Linked DNA regions of Caenorhabditis elegans. The protein of the gene in region 2 interacts with the protein of the main gene of each other region in a pairwise test. Each region holds a gene or a part of one and is shown on either strand. Other genes may lie near its edges.

Region 1 (12,192 bases), on a different chromosome or scaffold from region 2:
TCAAGCGAGTATCACTTCCCGTCCTTATCATCGTTTGTTCGAGCTTCACGCTCTACTCGTCACCCCTATCTACTTGTTATCTGTGGTGTCCCGTCTAAATTTTTTTTACATGTTAACTTGTCGTTGTGGAATCGAATAGCAAAACGTTTCCCTCAATTGTTAACTCCAAATGCATTTGCGTCGCGCCTAGGCTCTATTCCATTCGACACCCTCTTCCCCTCAACTTGACCTCCCGGGCTATAGCTGGTCCAACTGGTCATTTTACTTATTTGTCCACACATCATTTTATTTACTTTTTTTTAATCTTCCGGTGTAGCTCTTTCTTGTGACAAATAAACAATTATTATTATTTTCACAAAATACTGCTGGTCTGGCAGGAATAGGGGTGCAAGACTATCACCGTATTTCCTCTATTAGTCTTGCATGCAATACTAATAGAGGCTGCAAGACTAATTTTCGATTGGTCCGTAGGGGTGCAAGACTAATAGAGGCTGCCGGACTAATAGAGGAAATACGGTAAGTATCTTTTCTGAAAAAAAACATACCGGGCGGTACAGATTGGTTCCTAGAATCCACTGCGCTTGTACTTTGTCTATCACAGTTATAACCATATTCATTTCGATTTTCATAATTTCCATTCCTGTTTCTGGCATCGGTTGGTTCCAGATCTCTCGGATTCACTTTCCTTGGTAATTTAAGTGGATCTCTATCGAGTTGTCTTTTATTAGATTTCGGTTTAATTGAGAATCCACGAAAATTAAAATCTTCGAGTTTCGTCGGAATCGGTGCTTCTTCTCCATATCTCGCTTTCATCTCACCCAATGTAGTTTCATATGTGAATAAATTCCCAATTCGTTGTCCATTGTCAGTGAATCTCATTTGATGATTGTCCGAGAAATATCCTTTCTGGTACCAATCAAGCACAGTTGAGGCTCCGTATGGTCCTCTGAAAAATGAAATTACTTAAAACTTCATAAAAGAATAGAAAACCTACTGTACTGTACCACGATCGTCAGTGTAGAACACAGTTATATCGTCGTCTATGTCTTCCATCTCCATTCTGAAATAAATATTATTATTTGAAACATAGTTATTATTCTTTGAATTCATAAAATTCAAAGAGGTTTTCTAAATTACTTCGTATAACAAAAAGCAATGGTGTCGGCTTTTTGATTTTATTTTTCGAAAGTCAAAAATATTATTTTTTTATAAACTTTTTAACTTTTTTAAAATTAACTTTTTTTTGGTTTTTGGAAGAAAAATTTGAAAATTATATGAAAAAATACGGATAAATCAAAAAATTTTCAAAGAAGAAACGAATAGTCAGATAATATTTCTGCAAGAAAAAATGTTAAAAACTGGGTCTATTGGAATGATACAATTTTATCCCCATAAGCACACAACGGCTTTAAAAAATTGCATTAAATTACCTAATTGTTCATTAAAATATAATTTCCAAAAAATGAAATCGCAGAAAATCTGAACTATTTTTTAAAAAAATTGAGATGAGTTTTCTCAGAAATCCTACAACGAATGGTAAGTACAGCATATTAGTTCTTAAAACTGGCTTCCTTCGGAAGAAAATATCAAAGATATAAAAAAGTGTAAAGTATACACTATATTCGAAATTATATAAACGATACAATTCCAAAAAAGTTTATATTATAGAAGAAAAATAAATTACTTTACAAGAAAAAGAAACGAATACATAGGAATTTCTATGACACAAGATTAATAAAAGCGAATTGAGATCCTATAAAACACGATAAAATATTATATATTAGTCAATATAGATTATTTCAGGTGAATGCACCTTTTTCGAAGAGCCTCCGTCAATTACATCTTCAATTGTTTGTTTCTGTGGAGTTGCCGAAGCCAGAAAACGCACCCAAGTTCCAACATGGACATCTTGATAACGCAAGTGGTTAATCTGAAATTATTTAGAATTATTGGAAGACGGCAGAACGGCGAAACATTCAATTAAAATTACCTTCATTCTGAGTTGAATGCTTCCCACGTGACGGCACATTTCAAAAAATGAAATAAATTTTATGTTGCAGAAAGTGCACTCATTCTGAAATAATTGAGTAAAATTACAATACTTTCGAAAGCAACATACGTGATTCTTGAATAGTTTTCCAACCCTCCTCGATAAGATATTCGCGTCAACCTTGGTCATGAGATTTTCGACGACTTGAGAGAGGAAGTTTCCGGTTCGCTTTTGCTCTGAATTAGAATTCTTGCTCCTAACTTTGTTTTTACTTGGCCTATTCGCTTTCATTGACGAATATTCAACAGCTGCCTTAATATCGATCACTGCACCAATGACGGCTTTGATCTGCTCGAGGTCTGATTTATTTAAATTATTTCCATTAACAACGGAACTTTTTTAATCGTACTCGGTTTCTTAACGAATCCCTTCGATCGATTGATGAATTCGCCGACCGTTTCCGAGAAGTTCACATTTGTATCAGGGTTGAAACCTGGTAGGATCAGAGCTGAAATCAAAAGTAAAACAAAAGAACGTAAACTGAGCTTTACCATTTGAAGGCGCCTGCTCGATTACACTGTTCACTTTATAAATCCAGAAATCGACGTCATTCTCTGAGAACAAGCAGTTCTATAACTTAAGATGTTGGATAGTGATCAGATGAGCAAACATAGCTGATCCCATCAAATCGATTCCGCACAGTTGGCAGCAAACTGTTTCTGATGTGTACGGAGGAAATTTCTTCAACGAGTCCGGAACGGTAATAATCAGCTGATAGAGAACGAATAGTTTTCCTTGAGCTTTCTCTGTAATTCACAATATCTTTTAAGTAAACGTGTTTTTCTACAAACCAGGATTAATGATTGGAAAACGGAAATCGGGTTTACGCATGAGAGGTGGTGAAGAGTAATGTTCAGGGTGGTAATTACTGAAATGATGTTTTTAAAATAAGTAACAAAAAAAGCTTCTAACTTCACACTCCGAGACAGCAATTCTCCCAAACTGGGGGCGTTCTGACCGGAATCTTCGTTTTCTTGTTCGAGAATTGCAGCGGCCACTTCAAATTCATTAGACATAGTTTCAGTACTTGACTGATCCTCTTCTACACTCGGAGACTCCTTCTTGACCTCATTACTATCGCCGCATACAATTTCTGGATCATTTTGAGCATCTTCTGAAAACTTTTGAACAAGGTTATTTCGAATGGTAACATTATTACGAACTCGGCTGGTCCGTTTCCTTCGCCGAAGTGTTTTCATCCAGCTCCTGGCTCGTATCCACTTCCATCAATTCTCCTGGTTCCATGGAATCACTGCAAAAATAGGACATGATGAAATATATATATATATATATATATGAATAAAAGCTTAGGAATTTATGAAATTTACACTTCGTTTGCAGCCATTTTCAGCTTTTAAGAAGACAGTAATGCAAAAATAAAACGAATTTTCAGAAAGTAAACGTGCCGCGCGTTTTGTCCACGTGGAGAACAACGTGGATACGCAAACACTCGAAGAACTCTGCGTACAATACACCATGTGCCCGCTTACAGTACTCCAGAAAATAAAATTTATTTTTCATTGCACACTTTTGTGCTCTGATTTCACTAATCATATGTAAATAAAACATTTATTTTACTTTTAATAATTTAAGAACATTTATATGATTCCAAGCCGAATGGACCATACGTTTCTCTGAACACTTCAGTTAATTGCGCTGTTTCTTGTAAGGACAAGAAATTTGATCATTTCTGTAATTCATGATTATTAAAATGATTCCTTCTGTCATGTGGTCGTTTTAATTTTGTGCAGTTCTGAATAATCTTGAATTGAAGAAAAAGGAAATAACTTTTTTTCAGGAATTGTAAAAGTCGTTGGAAGCAACAAAAAAAAATACGTACAATTGCTGTATATCACAGGAACGTTTAAGAAAATATAATATTAATTTAGTAGTAGGAATGAGGACGTGGATTTTAGAATTTTCATCGTAGTTTATATGCGTTGAACTATGTTGCCGGCTGCTGAACGTCCTCACGGTAGAATGTTGGCTGAAATTTGTATGTTTATTGAAAGATTAGGCAATATTCAGTATACCCGGCTCTCATTACTCGATCGTCCACTACCATTGACCTCGTCTTCACTATCCGAGGAGGAATCCTCATGGTGCAAGCGATTTCCCGTTTTTGGTTCACTTTCTTCTTGTCCTGGTGTGGCACTACTCAGACTGTCAAAGCACTGAAAAATCATGATATTTAGACGATAAAGTGTCAAACTTCACCGTACATGATCACAAACTCGGACAGGCTTCTTATGTACATTGTCAATACGGAATGTTCTCGATGAGCAGGCGCCACACACGACACGTCCACAATTTCTGCAGTGATGTCTTCTTTGAACCAGATTGAATTGAGTTTTCCCGCAGACCATACACTTCACTGCTTCACCATCGGGAACCCATACAGCTGCGTGAGCAGTCGCGGCTTGCTTATTTCCTGAAAGTAGAAAATTTTGATTGTATTTTTAATAGAAAAAAATAATTTATCTAAAAAACCGTTTTAATTTAGAGATATGGTGATTCCCAATTTTTTTGTAGAACGTATATTATTGGTCATTTAAATATGAGAATTTTTCACCTATCTTAGGCGCATGGGTCTCGCCAGGCGGACAACAAATTACTGTAACTTGTCGATCTATGGACCAATTTTGCATCACAATTTATAAATTAAATTGAACATTGCTGCCAACATTTTTTTAAATAAAAAGACCACAATGCGCCTAAGACTTATTTAAGCTTAATATTAATTAGACGAAAAATGTTGCGATTGTTGCATTAAAAATACGGTTTTCGGTCTCGAAACGACAAGATTTTTTGAAACGGAAAATGGTAAGCGCCTTTAAAGATTACGGTGGTTTCAAACTTTCTCTGCAATTTTTTGGTGGAAATTTTTTGAAAATAATTTTCGTGTATTACCTCTTTCAAGGAGATCTGTAACGCATCTCTCAATATGCAACATCCATTCTCGTTTTTCAGTTTCAGTTGCTGCATAAACTGCAAACGATTTTGCAGGTGTCTTAATAATCCATCCATGTTTCTCAATTCCATCGTCTTCCAGATCTTCTACTTGTACACCTTCCAATCTTAGAATTCTTTGCTTATTATATCGCTTTTTCGAAATCACAATGTTTCCATATACAAGAATATCATTGAACAAGAAGAATTGCCGTTGCTTCGGTTTCTTTCGGCACATTTTCACAAGAACACCTTCTCCGACAAGAACTCGTCCGAATACCGACAATTGTTCTCCCATTTTTCCAAAGCATTGTTCTACGTTAGCCATTCGACGGGAATTCACTTCACTATTCACTAAAATTTAATAAATTATTTTATAAAAGAAAATAAATAAAACTTACCAAGTCGATCAACCATTGTGTTTTGTGATTTAGAAACGATGGAAAGAATCCGCTGAAAACTTTGAATATTTCAAAAAATTCATAAATTTAGTTCGAGACGAAGAAGGTTGAAAATCATAACAAAAAATTATTTTGAGTGAGAACAGAATAAGAAGAGAGGGAAAAGGAATGTGATGAGTCATCATACACTTTATGTGCAAACAATCGGATGGACAAGCCAGTGGACCGCTGCCTGAACGAAAGAAAAAGAATGCAATGAATAAATTGTCACGAATGAATGATAAGAACAACTGGTGGCCTGGAAAAAAGGTTTCAATTAATTTTATTACTTTTTTGAATAAGATTTCGGATCTTAAATATAGTTATGCATGGTATGGGAGCAGATTTTGTAGGTTTTCCTTCTAATTAACAATAACAATCTCAATATATTTACCGAAAATAACTGTAACAAAATTACAAAATTTGAACATTGTTTTAAATGATTTTTTTCAATTTTGGAAAAAAAATGATTAAAAAGGCTAAACTTTTTCTGAATTCCCGCGCAAGTGATCTACACAATTTCGATATTTTTTGCTTTTTCCGGCTATATTAATTGGGGTTTCTTTTTATTTTATTTTGTTAATCTAAAGAACTTCTCTGAAACTCTAAATCTGGCCTCAAATCAATAATGTAAACTTGTTTTGCGGGAAAAAATGTATGAAAGTTTTACAAAATTATGTTTCGAATCAATAATTTAATAAAAACCTTAATAATATAACCTGAAAACGTCGAAACTTTAGGAATTCGTTTGCGCGGGAATTCAAAAAATAATTCAGCTCGTTTTTAAATAATTTTTAAAAAAATTTGCAATCATAAAAAATTCCATCACTTTCTAAAAAATAAATTCGGCAAAAAATCCCTCAAAACCTATACCATCTTTTTAATATTCACAGGTTTCTCGAAATAATCTGATTAAACATAAGCCAATTAGACCAATTTAGTTTAAATTGAGAAAACCGATATTTGCTGTGTGTCACCAATCCATCGGAAAGCGGCAAGAGTGAAAGAAACGCAGAGATAAAGATATAATTGATGACCAAAATAGAAGATTGTGGACATTCGGAACCATTTACAACAAGAGAGAGGTTGGAAAATCAAGAAAAAAGGTTTTATCATGGTAGTTTTGCGTAAAAATATGGAACAACAACAACAATTTTAAGCAACAACAATAATTCAACAAAAGGATTTTTCAAAAAGCCAATTCATTTAGCATGTCTTCTATTTCTTTTCCTGTTCTGATTATTTTTGTTCTTAGCAGTTCCAGAGTTATTCGACGACGAAATTTCATTCGTTGAAACCAAAATAACTTCTTCTTCAGGCTCCGGAACGAAGTTATTTTCGCGGATTTCTTTCAATTTGTCCATGAGATTTCTGAAGTTTCCCTTGCATCCAGTAAGTTCTTCTCTTGCTTCAAATGGTTGAATTCCGACGGCAAACGCTTCAAGTGGAGCAACAGGAGTAAGAAGAGAGCTACCAAACACTGGAGTTCCGATTAATTCAAACATCGATTCTCCTAGTTTTACATCTTTTCGAATCGGAGTCAAAAGGTGTTTTTCTTCTGTTGAAGCAGAGCCGTCGAGTATTATAATGGAATCTTCCTGGAAAAGTAACTGATATTGAATTTTTATTTTAATTTAATTTACTTCTCCCGGAGTATTGAACTTGTCAATTTTGATTTCATCACTTGTGATTACTATAACATCATCATCATCTTCATTAGCGAACTTTTTATGTTTCGGAGTTGATTTGGCTCTTCGTTTCTCCGCTTTTTCACTTTTCTTGAATATTTTCAGCAATTCATCTTGATAAACTGAGCAAAATACATCTCTTGGTGGAATCTTGAAGTCTTCACGCTATAAAAATGTAATTTCTAAAGTGACAACATATTTGTTCTTACATCATTTAGAGAAGATTGTTCTCCATTGAATCCTGGATACCATACAATTTTCGATGTATCTAATTCAGGAGGCTTCACTGACATTTCATCATCTTCTTTGGATGTCGAGTCGAAGAATTTCAATTGATCGGTGGATTTGATTGATCTGAAATTAATAACAATATTAAATTGCATAAATTTACCATTTTCATACTTTCTCAACCAGCCTGGCGGATATCCATCGATTAACCCAAGTCTTCTCATTCGATAAATGTGCTCCGGAATATCATTCCCACGCAATCCAAGAGCGGCTCTTAATCTATCGCTGATCACACCAGGTTTGAAATGTTTCTCTCTTTGTTTTGATATTCCAACGTCATTATAGAAAACTCTTTGCCTTCCATCACCAGATTCCCTCTTTTTCCTTGAAATTCGTCTGAAATCTTTCCGCTGAGTACAATCTCTCAGGTTGTGTTCGCCATCACAATTGAAACAAGACTGAAACAAATTCCTAGTTTAAGAAGCTTTGTGAATGAATAAAAGCTTACTATTTTCTTTCTAATGTTATTCTCCTTCTTCACAGTTACTGGGGTCGAAACGCTTCCGAGAAGAGTGCATTCAAGGCGTTTACGCCACTCGCTCGACCTGCAATGAATTTTTATTGGAAAAGTCATTGAATTAACTATATATTTTTTTACCCTATATCTTCTCCACTTTTTTCTACATCTTCTGCATTCAATTTTCTTTGTGGAGTGATGGTGCGATCAATGACGAACTTCTGAAAAACAAAAAAAATCAACTGAAGTGAATATTGTGAAGGTTACCTCAAACTCTGTTTCCGTTCCTTTCATTGTTTCGCTTTTTTCTATAAGCCCAGAAGAAGTTCTTTTTCTAAAAAGGAAAATATCAAAAAATTCGATTATTTTCCAAAAAGAAACCTTTTTCCATTGAAAGAAGTACTCGGCTGCTTCCGCTTCAACGAAACTGGTTGAATTTCTTCAATAATCTCAATATCGGACATTATCTGAAAATATTTTATGAGAAATTATGAAACTAAATATTTTAATAATAATTTTAGTGACAAAAATAAAAGTTAATTGCGAAATTTCCAATCAACGCATGTTTTTTGTTTGTGGGTACGGTACACATGTACGCAAACACCGAATCTGTATGCAGGTTCTGTGAACATTCACCGTAACTTGTTTACATGTTTGTTTTTCAAACTTTATTCTTTTTTATCAAAAGAAAATCAGGTTTTCGCATTATTTTCTCTTGAAAATTGCTACATTGATTGAAGATTAAAAATAATATTTCTAAAATTAAATTGTTTTCACAACATATTTAGCTTTACAATTTACTGTCTGAAATAAACAATTACAACCCATACTAAAAACAATTTTCACAGTATTTCTACTTCTTCTTCTGCATTTTCTTCAAATGAATGATTCTGACACGTCAACTTTTATATTAAAAAATTCCTTAGGCACCAAGCACCACATTTCATGCTTCTCTGTATTAGAGCACGAGAGTTCTGAAGAGAGAGCAGACACACAGCGATAGCCAACGAGCGAGGTGTTGTCTTGTGATTCTAACCACAATCGCGTTCGTCGATTGCGCAATTTTTTGATTCATCGTCAATCGATAAACCTTCCGTGTTGCTGGAAGTGATGACTTTATAGTTTAATTTAATCACCGAAATCTCACACTTTTTTAATCTATCTTCAATACTTGCAATTCTCCCAATAATCTCTGTTTTTCAGCTCAAGTCTCGTCGAAACGAAAACGAAATGTGCCAGATTCTTCTCGCCATCCTTGCAATTTTCCTTCCGGTGAGTTCTTCAGTCTGAAACCATTCTTCAACCACTATTTTCCAGCCAATCGCTGTGCTTCTGGATGTTGGATGCAACTGTGACCTCCTCATCAACATTCTTCTCACCTGTCTCGGGATCATCCCAGGAATCATTCACGCGTGGTACATCATCCTTTGCAAGGAGAAGACTGTCGTTCAGAACATATACGTGCAGACTGTAAGTGGATAGTTGGAAAAAAGATTAGCCAAAAGGAAAAAGATAGTGATTTGTCAAATTTCAGAACAACAGATACCCTTGAATCTTGATAAAATGGTGACTTTTTTTTTGAAATTTATTACAAGGGGGTCGGTTTCTTGTCCATGATTCATCCTACTGTTTCCTTTGTTGTCTTTCTACAAAGCTTAATAAATGTTTAAATTAAAATTATTTCAGAATGACCACGGAACCGCTCCACCAGCTTATTCTCCTTATTCGGCTTAAATGCTCACGACAAGACACGTTCCTACTTTGCGCTCCACGACATAAATGTATTTCTTTATCCTTTGTAAACCTTTAATTCACCCCTTGCAATTTTGACTTATTGTCACAGGTCCATGATCAAAAACTGTATCACTTGCCGAATTTTCTCATTCTAAGGCCTTAATGAGATTGTGTTCATTCCCTCCATTGAAAAAATAAATCATTCCTCTTTTCGATATACATTGTTTTATTTATCACCATTTTATGATCTATCGGTGCTTTGTTCCGATCGATTTATTTTTTTTGTCTTGTTTGTTCGTTTCTTTTTTTTCTTTCTTGCTTCTTTTTTCTTTTTGTTCTGTGCCTTCGATGACACCGCACCAATATATCTAGCAGAAACAAGTCAGCCCTCAAAATGTGCTGCTCTGCGTCTCTTTTCATTTTTACTTTTTTCGATGGTCTCCGCTCGTCTATCCATCACGTGTCTCTGGCGCCAACGCAAATGTATAAATACGAGTATTTGAATGAAACTGTCCGTCTGCTGTTGATTCGCTAAAAATATTCAGGCAGATTTCTATTCTTGAAAAAAAGCCTGAAAACGTTACTTTATTTCTCACTTTTGTAGAGCTTTTCTACAAAAACGCACTCTCATTTAGAGTTGTTTTTCATTCTCCATTGATTTTTCTCATTTTCGACCTTTTTAACATTTATTATGGCTGATAAACGCAATATAAGTCAGAATATTAAAAAAAAAAAACGAGAAAAATCAATAAAGAAATCTCTACGCCACACAAATTCCACACAAATGCGCCCTCCTTTAAACTCGTTGAAAATTTTTAACGAATTTTTCTGGTATTTCTCAATTGAAGCTTTGTTTAAATACTTTTCAGCCTTATTCCTAATCGAAAATTTCAAATTATCGATTTTAAACATTTACACTTGTAAATAGATTTGATCTTCGTCAACACTACGCGCGCCAAAATTTAGATTTGTCACTATCGTCCTTCAAATAAACACACTCCAATCGTTTCAAATGCTATTCAATCGGTTCTTTCACAGTTTTGTTTTCTTGGCACTCTCCTCCCTTTTCTGCCTACTTCTTTCTAATCATGCAACTGCCAATCATCGTCCATTTCACTTTGATAACACTTGTTTTGGTCATTCTTGTGTCGGTTCATTCTCTCATTTTTGTGTTGCTTACACGTCTCTAAGCTTTATAATAATTTTTTGTTGCAGAAAATTACCAACGAGATGTCGTCGACTGCTGAAGAAATGGCTGCCGCATTCGAGCAAACCGGAGGACCGGTCAGTGCAATGCATATATTGTATTTAAACTGAATAATTTCAATTTTAGGATCTCACCACTGGAAGCGGAAAGCGCACCAAGTCTGACAGAGTGGAGCACAAGCACGCATCTCAGCCAGGAGGGGACACTCGCAAGGTTGTTCAAACCGCCAGCAACGGAGAGGCAAAGAGAAAAGAGAAGTGGTGCGTTAATATGCTACCGTGTTTGCGGACCATGTTCCTATTTTTGATTTTTCAGAATCATTCTTCATGTGACTGCCCGACACTATTTCTCTATTCCACCACCGACTGCCCACTGATTCATGTTTTTTACCTTGTTTCTCGTTTCTTCATTATTTTTAACCGTATTGTGTAAATTTAAAATTTGTAAAGTACCCACCGGCTAGGCTGTCTAGCAATCGATTTTTTTTTGTATTTTATTGTAAATTCCCGAGTAATTTTCTTCACATCCCGTTTTTGTTCACATCAAATAAATATTTGTTTTGTGAGAATTATTTTTTAGAAGAAGAAATCAATACAATTACTTCATTGCGGCCTAACGTTTAATTCGTCACAAGCTCTATACTTACTCAATTCTAAACATTTAAATTCTGACATATAGCGGTAATTTCAGGAAAAAAATGTCGCGTCCGCTAGGATTTATTGGATACGAATTTGGAGATGACGAAATGTTCGTCCAACAAATGATCGAAAAGAAATCAAACGCAGAACAGGCGAAAATGCTTGGTTGGTATTATATTGTAGAAAAGAAAGATTCTTCGAATTTTAAATATTTTCAGAACAACAGAAAAAGATGCTCGAATGCACCGAAACAATGCCAGAAGAAAGTGAGCCAGTTCCAATGAAATGTCTCGATTTTGAAGAAGCATTTCAAAGCGAATCAGTATCAAAAGGTTACGAATCGCCATACAAGAATATTTCGTTTCTCAAGGAAGATGCTGTGACTGTTAATAGTTCGTATTCATATTGTTCCATATTCATTTCAATTTTTAACTTTCAGCAATGAGCCACTGCCCAGCCGACGATATCGCCAAGCTCATCCGAAACATTCAAAACTCGGTGTACACTCTTGGAATCGAAGAAGCTCGCCAGTGCCGACGTGGAAAGTTGCTCAACGTGCTGAAACCCACTGGCTCGGCTTCTCCGAGATATTTGCAGCCAACACCACCGAAAAATGTAGCGGAAGAAACGACAGGAAGCCAGTGAATTGAATAGTGGTCTATCAAAAAATAATGATCTCATCATTCATTAACATTCACATGAATAAACTTGATTACTAACAGAGCACAATTAGAAAGTTGG
Region 2 (11,815 bases):
TTTGATATACTCATAGAATTTTTGTTAACTTTTCCAGCGCTAATTTTAGGAAAATTCAAAGGATAAAAATTGACCTACTTTTATACCAAATTGTGATCTTTACATCACCGCCTCTGTCGGAGCATGTCTCTTTCGAAATGTTCAGCAGTCATACTTCCAGCGAGACGCTCACAATTGTCGTTGAATACTGAATAGGCACTCATCTCGCCGCGTCGCCGTCTTCCAGTGTTCCAATATGTGAAAAGAATGAGTGATAGAATGAAGAAGACCGCTCCGAATTGGACCCTTCAAAATTGAATTTTTCATTCATTAAATAAATGAGAAAGATTGGGACATGTATTGGGACATGTCAAGCATCCCAAAATTAGTACTCTCCGGAAAAAGACAATGCTTTTGCAGAGGCCCACACTCTCTCTCTCTCTTTTCATTGCTCTTTCTCTTTCGAGTGGTTCACTCGGCAAACACATGTCATGTCGGTGTCTCTCGGTCATCATGTCCATGAACGGGATAATTGTAGTTATAAATGCTCACCATGCAGCCAGAGCTTGACCAACTACGTATACAACCACGGCGATTCGTGTAGAGACCACAGACTGCTCTTCTGAAAATATAGAGAGCTCAGGATAGGAAAGAAGAAAACGGGAGAAAGTTTTTTGATGCATGTGTGCGCCTTTAAGGAGTACTGTAATTTTGAACTATTTTTTTCTGTGGAATTTTCATCGATTTTTTATATTATATATTTAAAAACTAATATAAACAGTAAAAAATCTTGAGAAAAAGTATGAAAAAACAATGAAAATTCCACAGCCACAAGATTTTGATATTACAGTACTCTTTAAAGGCGCACTCTTTCGCATTTAGTTAGCAAAAATTTGTCGTGTCAAGACCGGGTACCGTATTTTCGGATAAAAATTGGAAATTTTTGCGTCCGTGTAATATTTTTTTTCATGTTTTTTGCATCGACTGGAAACAATTTTTATTTTATTTGTTTCATTTTAATTTGATTTATTGAAACTGTTTTCAGGCATTTCGAGCAAAAAATCTGTTTTAAAATTAATTTCAAAAATTAAAAAAAAACGTTTTTCATCGAAATAAAGTTTTAAAACATAATTTCAATAGGGTTTTAAATGCAAAATGGTTTTTTTTTTACTTTGAGAAAAGTTTTCTAATAATTTTAAAGTTTTTTTCCAAATATCTCAACTTTTCGATTCTTTTCCAAAAAAAAAAGCTCACCATAATCCTCTGGCACCGGCTCAGCCTTTGTCAAAAAGTTCCATTCCCGTCCATTCGGCGATTCTTTCTTTATCACATTTTCCACGTCTTTTTGTGTAGTTTGCTCGACTTCTTGCCTTTCTTTTAACTTTATTTTCTCTTTCTCTTTTCGAAATTCTTGAAGGTTTCGGAGCACATCACTCATTTTTATGGATCTTCTAAAGAGGAGGGGAGCTATTTAAAATTTGAAACTAAAAATTGGGAAGTCGTTTGAAATAATATTAATGGATTTACGAACCATCAAAAAACAAACTGAAAAGTTCAAAAATAAAAATTAAAACTTATTTATAAAATTTTTCGACTATTTAGATTTTTCGTTTAATTTTCAAAATCACAGAAATGAGATCAAATATGGTTTTTTTTTGGAGATCAGTGATGAGATGGATTGGAAACCGTGAGTTGATGTTTTTGACGATCAATTTTCTTGAGATTGACGTGGTTAAAATGTTGGCGTAGCTGAAAATATTCACAAATTTTGAAAAAAAAAAATAATTTTTAGAATTTAAACTTACAATTTCTAATGAATTTTCCGGTAGAGTTCCGTTCACGAGTCCAATGAGTTTTTCTAATTTCTGGTGCTCCACAATTTTTGGGAATAAAAGATGCGGAATTAACATATCCAGTTCTAATATTCTTAGTTCTTGAAGGCCATCCAAAAGTTTTGTGAAATTTTGTACAGTATTACAAGATCCATTATTATGAAAATGTAGATTCCGGAGAGTTGTAGAACATCGGGAAATTAATAGATCAATGGAAGATGGAGTCAGCTTGCAGTCATTTAGATAAAGTGTTCGAACTGTTGACGGAATGAATGCAAGAATTTGATCGATTGGACAGATCTCTTCTTTCTGAGGGCAGCTTCTGAAAAATTGTTTTTTTAAATTAAAAAGTGGAGTAGAGACAGTGGTTTTTTTCCATAAATTACAGTAACCAGTCTCAGTATACCGAATATAAGATGCTTAAAAATGTATAAAATTATTCTAAATTTTGTATTATTTTTTTTTTTCAATTTTGCAAACGACTCTACTCTTTTTTTTTCGAAAATTGAACATACGATATGAGAAGCTCTTTGACAGAGTACATTATCGGCAGAACCGTTTCGAGTTGAATAAAGCCGTCTTCGTGAAGATTCGTCATATGAATAACTTCTGCTTTTTTGAATATCGACGGGCAAGCATCAGCTAGATCCTTGACAGTATTATCCTCTTCGTCTCGAAATTGAATATTCAAAGTTGGAATCATTTTTCTTGTCGGTGAAAGATTATATGGTCCATTTGTGATGAATACTTGTAAAACTCGTGATCTATCCGACATGAATTGAGTCAAAGCAATAATAAGATTTCGCGGCATTTGTGGATCAGGAAAAACCAGCTGACACGTTTCCAGTTGAACTTCATGCAATGCCATCTCGACCATAATTTCTTCAATGAACCACGAGTTTTTAGATAGGCTCGGATTGACGTGGCAGCAGAAATGTTTCAAATTTGGATTTATTAGTCGTTTCATTCGTTCAATTTCCGTACACCATTGTCGATCGAGATGAAGTTCCAATGATTCGATTCGATCCAAAACGGCGGCGTCGCCTGATTCCTCATCCAATTCAAACGAAAAGTTTCGTGCATTTCTCACAATGATTCTGTTTAATTTGGGAAACTTTTCTATATTGTCCAGAATTTGTACAGTAAATCGACGGCATCTAATTTCAAACTCCACTATCCGATTGAGAAGTCGCTTGCTGACTCCGTTGAAGAAAACATCTTAAATTTAATAATAAATTCCTGAAAATTATCGTTTTTGCAGTAATTACCTGGATTTTGAATAGTATCCTTGTAATTATAGCCTACTATTTCGCTACGTTCATCTTCAGGAACATCTGAACAGTTTCGAACTGAAAGACGGGACGAGAAATTACGAGGTCGCATGAGAAGAGTGAGAATTGATGGCCACTGAAATAAAACATAATTATAATACAGGTTTAAAATAATTATAAGCAATCTCACATTAGGATCTTCTTCCAATCGAATCGCAAAATTTCCAGAAATCGGAGTTTTCAAGCACAATTCTCTCAATCTTCGACTCGAAAGCTCCAGTGAATTTCGATCTTTGAACCTCTCAACAAATTCGATAATCTTCATCATTAGCATGTCATTCCAGTATAGTAACGTCTTCGTTTCCTCACCATTTGGCATCAAAAACTGCAAAAATATATGTGATATGAGCGGAACAAGAACACAAATCTATGCGCAACAGCTTGAACAAACATTCGGTTGACCGAATCGAATCGATAAAGGTGCGGGGAGACTAGCGGAGCGTGGTGGTGGTCACTAATGGATTCTCGTGAAAAGATTTATAATTGATATTCAATAAATAAATCAACAATTAGCTTAATTTTAACTATTTTCAAATGAAACGGAACGCCGTCCAGATGCGTGTCAGCAAGTGCGCGCGTGCGTAAATCGATAAATTTGCTTTGACATTTTCGAGTTGCACACTCACAGCGCGCGGCTCTTTTCTTCCATTTTCTCATGCTTTTTTCTTGTTTTTCTCAATCCCTGCTTCAGCCGTTATTCATGTTTTATGTCTTGTTGTGTCTAGAATAAAACATTTATTAATAATTTTTTGTTTCAGTTATAAATGGCTGAGAAAAATCACCAACAACAAGAACGACTACCTGGCAACCCGTTTTTCCCATCAAGAAGCAACGCTGGCTCTTCATTTGACATGCCCGTAAGCTTTCTAATAATAATAATGGGAAAAAGGAATAAAAATATTTAATAATATGCAGGAAACACCACATCTCATCGATTCGCTCACTTCTCAAATCGACGAATTCACAATTCAAAGCATAATTGATACTCAGAGACAGAGGTAATATACTGGAGAATTTAGAATTTATTGATTTTTCTTTTTTTTTCAGCTTGAAACGCTTCGAAAAGACAAATGAAATGCTCATGAATTGCGCTCAACTCGGCGATCGAAGAATTGAAAAAGCAAAAAGGGATTCTGTGGGACACAAAGAGACAATTCTGCAGATGAAAACTGATTTGGAATTTATTTTCAAAAAAATTCGCATGTTCAAAACAGTTTTGTCGTCAAAGTATCCAGAAGTTTATGCTGAAGGTGCAGATATTTTAATTTGAATACTTTTAAAAAGTTCATCAAATTTCAGTGTCAGCCGAGCTAACGCCAAAACGAAGCGAGGAAGACGAATGAAATACAATTTATTCGTAATTGAAAAACAAGAAGAAAAAAAATAACAGATCATTTGGAACAAATACAAGTCACAGAAATTCAATAAAGATCTCAAATTTTTGATTAAAGTGAAGTCGAAATAAGTTATAAAATTTTTTGTTTTTAATTTAATTAGTAACTTCACTATGGGGACTTTTTGACACAAGAGAAACAATAGAAATTTGAATAGAGAAAATATTAATGTGGAGGTGGTTACTGTCGGAATAAAAATTTAGAGTTAAAATATCAATATTACACGATTATGATCTACGGTGACGTTTCGAGTCACGACAGTCATCATCAGAATCGGAAGAAGCTGATCTATCATCTGAGGAAGAATGACGGCGTTTTCTTTTTTCCTTTTTACTTTCCTTGCTCTTCTTCCTTTTTCTATCCTCTTCCTCATCAGAATCACTACTATCATCAGAATCATCTCGTCGCCTTCTCTTCTCTTTCCGTTCCTTCTTTCTCTCCTTTTTCTCGAGTTTCTTCGCCTTCTTCTTTTCTTTTTTCGCCTTCTTTTTCAGCTTTTTCTCCTTTTTCCGCTGCTTTTCCAAAGCAATGAGCGGAGTCTCGTCGTCACTTGATTCAGATGATGTCGAACTGACCTCGTACGCTTTTGTCGATACATTTGGACGTACTTCAATGTGATTTCGACACTGGAAGTATAGATGACCCGGATATCCACATCTTTTGCATGCTCCCGTGACTGCGGGGGCAGATATTGCGGCACCTGATATATCTGAAATTAAACAAATTATGTGATTTTAATTTCCTATGAACTACCGTACCTACAAAGGCGTTCGGGTCGTATCTTGATGGGAACGCTGACTGTGCTAGGGAAGCAAGTGAAGGTTTTTTACCTGAAAGTAGATTTTGAGTTTTTTTTTTGAAAAATTTATAAATACTTTTTTTCCAAAAAACCAAGTTTCTTTTTTGGAGTCGTTTTCAAAAAAGTTTTTTTTCGCTTTTTTCGTCCCCTAAATTGTTTTTTGTTCGGAAACATTTTTTTTGCGAATAAATCCATAGTAATTTAATTTTTGAAAATTTAAGATTACTTACCTGACTCATCATCTTTTGATAATGGGCTATCTGTGTCAGTTGTGGTAGTTACAGTTGTACTGGTAGATCCGAATTTTCGCACAAACGGCATCGGAGTCAGGTTAGCGTTCGCCATCTGTAATTGTAGTGAATATTAGGGAGTACTAAAAATAAGCAAAAAATAACGTGAAGAGGTGGTAAAAGACGCTGGTTTTATGCGCGTTTTAGAGGGGAAGAACTGTTCTCAAGGGAAGATGGGTTTTATAGAAAAATTATCGATTTTTCGGCGCTTTTTAATCAGAGAACATAGAAGAATTGGAAAACATGCTGAAAAGATTTAAAAATAAGATTTTTTTCAACAAAAAAAAAGAGAACTATCAAGAAAAGTGAAAAGCAGCAATGGAAGAAGTGAGAAAGAAATATGAAAAGTTTCGAAATTAATACGATTTTTTCCACTAGAGCACATTAGCACGGTGTTGTTTGAAATTTTGAATAAAATATTTTTAATTAGAAAAAAGGTATTATCTGATGCAAATTTATGCAAACTTCTCGAAAATGTTCGAAAAGCACTCCTGGTTTATAACCCTGCAAGTTTTCAAATTTCTGGATTATTAAATCGTCAATAATATCTCATATTTTGTGTATTTTCGTCGAGTTTTTTCGAGGATAATCTATTAATTTACTACTCAAAACCACAGAAAACGAGAATTCGTAGATTTACAACAGTAAATAATGCGAATTTTATTTGGAATACTATAAAAATATTGAACAAATTAGCGATTTCAAAATTAACTGACAAAAGAATTCGCGAAAATCGTTTCACAAAGAACTATATATTTTTTTGAAAAACAAAAATTCACTGTTTTCCTCGGGGAGTACACGAGCTCCGTAAATCGACACGCTTCCAATTCACTCTTTCCTTTCATTCATTATATTGTGTTCCAATAAATTAATTTGACGAATGATGATCGAAGTTAGCTTGACAAATGACTCCAAGAGCTCCACCCCCATCTGTTATATGTCCGCAAATCAATACAAAACCTCTCCCACCGCTTTCTCTTTTCTTTCTCCCGCGCTGGGTCTGGGCACAAGATGCTCTCGACAAACTCTTCTCAAGCACACTGCCCGGCTTCTCGCTCATGATACGTTCTCTCGTCGCGTCGTTTCGAAATTCACTTTACTTTCTCCACGATTAGTGGGTCGTTACAGAGCACGCCATCTTTTTCCAAAAGTAAATCTGTCCAAAATGCAGGTGAGTCCTATTATATTTGAAGAAATAATCTAGTTTTCTCTTATTTATGAGTTATAAATAAATCTTTAATATTCATTATAAAAAAATACGATCTATTTTCCTCGCGGTGAGACCTATATGAATGAATTCGTGTACCTTCAAGTGAGAAGTTTAGGAGATTAAAAATTGCGATATATTACGCAACCGCCAGAAATTATACGAACTGTGCAGCATATTTGGCACAATGAATATCTCGTTGCGACGTCTACAGTAACTTTGTAAATACTACCGTAACCACAGTGTTAATTTTGTTGGTTATATAATATTTGAAAATTACCTTCTCAAAAAAGAGGCATTGTTCAACTAGGAAAAAAAGTTTCCGATTTTCAGATCGAGAAACCATACGACTATGCTGCTCTTATGATCCGTGTCTCCGCCGGATTTGTTATTTTCATATCGTTATCATTGATACTTTTGGTAGTTGGAAATCTCATCTACACAAGTTTTACAGAACGAGTCAATTTGAATTCCAAAGTGAGAAATTTCATTTTCCCAAAAAACCTAACTAGTTTTAATTTTCAGAGATCCCGATAATCTCAATACTTATGCCAACCAAAAAAAAACCGCACTCTTTCCATAATCTTGCCACGTCATTAAATCGTTCCCAATTGTGTTACCTATAACTTATTGATTTGTGGTGAATAAAAAACAAGTATCTCTCTGATAAAACAACCGATCCAATGCGCAGATAAAAAGGTGAAGGTCTCTCATCTGCGTCTCTCAGGCTTCGGACTGCGCGGCAACAAAACCTGAAGAGGAGATGTGGCGGTAGCCACCGAGAACGGAATAAACTAGATGAGTGGAAGGAGACACTTGCAAGACGGTCGTTGCTTCCTTCTTTTCCTTCCACGTGTAGTGCTTTTGAATTCAAAAGTTTTGATTTTTCTTTTCTTGTAACTTATTCCGCCTATTTACAACAATTAAGTAACCATTTCAGTGACTAAACCGAACCAGCACAAAAATGCTGAAATCAATTATTGCCTCAGCATTATTTGCCATCTGTTGGGCAGCAAATGACCGTTCATGGACCACTGATGAAGGTGTCAAGATTGAAATTATCAAGAAAATTGGAGACTCAAAATGCAAAATCAAATCCGAGTCTGGAGATCAATTGGAGCAATTTTACAAGCTTTCCGACAAGGAAGGTAAGGTGATTGGAAGCAACTTTGGCCAAAAGCCGTACACTTTCACTCTTGGAAAAGGCGAGGTGATTCATGGAATGGAAATTGCAATGGAGGGAATGTGTGTCGGCGAACAGCGAAAAGTGATCATTCCACCAGAGCAAGGATTCGACGAAGATGGAGATGAAGTAGAAGGAGTAAGTTGATTTATATTTTTTAAAATCTATTTTTAAATTGCAAAACAAATAAAATGGTAATTTGTACTATTCTAGAAAGGAGAAACTCTATACTACTTCGTCGAGCTGAAATCAATCTTCCGTCCAAAACCCGGAGCCAAGTGGATCACTGATGAAGGAGTTCACATTCACATTACTCACGAGGTAGAGGGATGCACCGAAAAGGCTCAAGCCGGAGATACACTTCATCAACAGTACACACTAAATCTCGAGGATGGATCTTTCATCGATTCGAGCTGGAGCCGCAATCGTCCATTTATCTTCAAAATGGGCTCCGGACAAGTTATCAAGGGAATGGACATTGCCATGGAAGGAATGTGTCAGGGAGAGAAGAGAAAAGTTGTTATTCCACCAGAGCTCGCTTATGGAGAAAATGGAAGACCTCCAGCAATTCCAGGAAACTCGTACCTTCACTTCGATCTCTCACTTGAGAAACTTGTCAGACCAGGAAAAGAGGAACTCTAGATTAACTGAAAATCCCAACTTTCATGAATTTCTAACTTATTTTTAATAGAACAATAAATTTGTATTAAAATGAATAAAAGAAAAAGTACACAATTGTGATCCACTGAACACAAGAAATGAATATAAAATATCTAAAAAGAATAAGTAATTTTAAAACAGTTCATTACGAAAAAAGGAATTGTATAAAAAGCAAAAACTATACATCAGGTATTTATAAAATTAAAACACACTACTTATAAAATAGTACTAGATGAGATCTTTGCGATCGATTAGAGGAATTGAACAAGGTGAGTCCTGAAAGAGCATTTTAGCCGTAAAATGAACGTGGGTTTCCTCGTCCTTGATTCGGAGGCCCAGCGTATCCAAATGGTGGCTGAGACGGTGGGAACATTCGAGATTGTTGTGGAGGTTGCGGCGGGGAAAAATCACGTGGTTGTGGTGGATAGAAGCCGTTTCCAGGAGCATTATTAAAGAACGGAGATTGTTGAGGTGGCATAGGACGCGGAGGCATCGGACGTGGTCCACTCATCGCAAAATTGTCCTGTATAGGAACTTTTCCGAATGGAGTATCTTGAGCTCGATGCCATGGTAGGTCGGAGAAGCTGCTAAAATTGAAATTGGATATTAAAACTGAATAACTTATGGTTTGGAATTCATCTGATGGGTATTTTGCCCTAAATGACAGAGAACATTCTCACTGCATCGAATATAAATAACTGTTAAAAAATTTGTACATTTTTAATGATTTCTCCAATTTTGAAAAAAATAAGAAGGGATGAATTATTTCTGAATTACATGAGTGGCATAATTTTCGACATTTTTGCGTTTTTCGGCCATACTGATTGGTTTTTCTTCATTTTTTAAATTTTATAATATAAATTTTATAAAAACATAATTTATCAATTTTTAGACATTTTTCCGCACAAAAGTGTTTCAAATATAAATTATCGAATTTCAGGCTAATTTTAAAGTTTCAGCGAATTTATTTCGAATTTTCACGTTTTCTTTACGGAAAAATGTTTGACAACTGACAAATAAAGTTTCATATTATAAAAAATCAGTATCGCCTGAAAACGCGAAAATGACGTCACTCATTTGCGAAGAGAATTCAAAAAAATGGTTCAGCACTTTAAATTTTTTACAAAATTGATAAAATCATTTTTAAAAATTTAGAAAAGTTGAATCTTTTAAAGTATTGCTCGATTTTTTATTTTTTTTTCTGCGATATTTCTGAACTTTAGAATATTTTTAGAATTTTAAAGACTTTTCAAATTATGAAATAAATTGGTTTTTGTAATTAAAAAACGTACTTATTTGAACGTGAACCACTTGGCCCAGACGGAGAATCGCTCCAAGGCCTGTCCATACCCAAATCCATTTGGAAACCTCGATTCTGATTCGATTGTATTCCATATTGTTGCTGAGGTTGTTGACGCCATGGCGACTGATTTGATGGAGGTGGTGATGGTTGTCGGGATCTTTGCCAGGGAGGAGCTTGTGAATTACCAGTACGATTGACGGGTCTCATATTTGGTTTCTTATTTGGAGAGCCATTGAACTTATTCTGCTTCTGAGCTGGAGTATTTGGCTTATTCGGATTTTGAGCCGGCGATGCTTTGACAGTGGGAGTCGTTGATTCTGCTGGCTTTATCTTTTTCATCATCTCTTCTTTTTCTTTTTCCTTCACACTGTCATCTAGTTTTTCCATTCCCAATCCTGGTATTTCACCGGACTCGTCACTTTTCTGAGACAATCCGAGAGCTGGAGCAAATTCGGCTTGTGGAGGTTTTTCACTAAGTTTCGGAATCTTTTTCAAATTAGTGAACCTGCCGACACTTGTACTGGCGGGGCCTGGGGTAGACGATGACGAAGGTGTAGAAGCGGCAGACACCATTTTGTTTGGCGGAACAGAATTTGACGTTTTTGCTTTTTTGGGTGGAGTCGCAGTAACACCGGACGGAGCAGGATTTGGCTCTGAAATAAATAAATAAATAATTTTCCAGTTAATAAATCTGAAAAAAACTTACTTTTCTGTACCTCTGCGGCTTCCTCTACGACGCGTTTTCTTGTACTCATTACTCGGTTCATCTCTTCCAAATAAGATTTCGAGTACGACGGAGTGCTTCCACCGCCACTAAAATTATCAGCTTGAACTTTAGAAAGAGCTTCAAATAGAGAATTAGAAGCAGCTGCTGAAGTGGATTTTGCCAGTTTTTCCCACGGATTCGGTTGAGAAGAAGGTGCAACCTTCGGCCTCTCTGATTCAGCATTCGGCGGTTTCAATGGAACTCCAAAAGCAGAAACCGATTTTGGAATGGAAGGCGCCGGAGCATTCAATTTTTCTTTCGGAATCCATGATTCAAAACCGGACGCGATTTGTGGCGGCGCCTTCTTTTCAACAATTTGTTGTATCAACGGCTTGGCGACAGCTTTCGGTGCAGGATTTAGTGTAGCTTGAGGAGATGAATGAGGTGGAGTGTCAACTATCTCCCCATCTTCCGGAGGAGAAACCCTTTCAGGATCATTCGGTGTACACGCCACGCTTCTCGGTGTTGTTATACTTTTAGGCGTTGCAGCGATTTCAGCGATTTTGTCCAGCAGCTCTTTATCCTTTTCTGAAAATTAAATATTTTGAAATTTAAATAATTAGAAAAATAATAACCTTTCAAAGTATGAGTCAATTTTATGACATCTTTCTTGTAGCGTTCCGCATATGCTTTCCAAGAATCACGTTCGTATTTTATCGAATCACAATCTTTACCCAATTTCTGTGCAGCAGACTCGAATAACGCGGCTCTCTCCACCGCATCATTCCTTTCCTGATTTGCCCGTGCACATTTTTCAGTCATTTCAGCCACTTCCATCGTCATTTTTTTGCGTATCTTCTCGACAGTTTTGCAGCGAGTACACGTCTCGTTATCCGCCAGAAAAAGTCGATCATTCAAGTTCTTCACAGCAGTTTCCGCCTGTTCGATGGCTTTATTTTGTTCTTTTTTGCATACATCTCTTGCTCGCAGATAGAATTCAGCTCGATCCTTCTCATATGTTAGTTCTTGTTGGAGGAACTCAACTTTTGCCAGCAGAGCGCTGTACTCCAATTTCTGATCTTCTGCGTTTTTTTGCATCTGTTGCTTATAAGCTTCATATGTCCTTGTCTG

Evidence for each region.
Region 1: the proteins of C13F10.7 (region 2) and ZK632.12 interact in a two-hybrid assay, tested with the Caenorhabditis elegans proteins (2 studies listed by BioGRID).

The regions. Positions count from the first base shown.
Region 1 is NC_003281.10:9,824,062-9,836,253, reverse strand, and holds ZK632.12 (uncharacterized protein), read right to left. Parts: upstream 5,453-12,192; 5' UTR 5,417-5,452; coding exon 5,401-5,416; intron 5,354-5,400; coding exon 4,961-5,353; intron 4,482-4,960; coding exon 4,273-4,481; intron 4,225-4,272; coding exon 4,084-4,224; intron 4,038-4,083; coding exon 3,996-4,037; 3' UTR 3,831-3,995; downstream 1-3,830. Other genes in the region: K11H3.8 (GYF domain-containing protein), read right to left, coding at 546-946, 995-1,059; ZK632.11 (uncharacterized protein), read right to left, coding at 6,642-7,037, 7,083-7,292, 7,337-7,481, 7,530-7,813, 7,864-7,960, 8,014-8,093, 8,140-8,206, 8,254-8,336; UPF0057 membrane protein ZK632.10, read left to right, coding at 9,103-9,144, 9,190-9,342, 9,559-9,606; ZK632.9 (uncharacterized protein), read left to right, coding at 10,837-10,890, 10,940-11,073, 11,129-11,129; Protein lin-52, read left to right, coding at 11,511-11,616, 11,670-11,843, 11,891-12,096.
Region 2 is NC_003283.11:7,217,573-7,229,387, forward strand, and holds C13F10.7 (CCHC-type domain-containing protein), read right to left. Parts: upstream 5,681-11,815; coding exon 5,566-5,680; intron 5,367-5,565; coding exon 5,295-5,366; intron 5,246-5,294; coding exon 4,764-5,245; 3' UTR 4,486-4,763; downstream 1-4,485. Other genes in the region: C13F10.5 (SAYSvFN domain-containing protein), read right to left, coding at 105-285, 532-601, 1,234-1,417; C13F10.6 (FTH domain-containing protein), read right to left, coding at 1,642-1,728, 1,785-2,133, 2,327-3,029, 3,080-3,218, 3,273-3,407; kxd-1 (KxDL domain-containing protein), read left to right, coding at 3,907-3,999, 4,058-4,140, 4,190-4,392, 4,442-4,485; C13F10.1 (50S ribosomal protein L6), read left to right, coding at 6,506-6,796, 7,166-7,309, 7,358-7,369; fkb-3 (peptidylprolyl isomerase), read left to right, coding at 7,797-8,153, 8,229-8,657; gei-6 (GEX Interacting protein), read right to left, coding at 8,965-9,262, 9,968-10,631, 10,685-11,272, 11,320-11,815.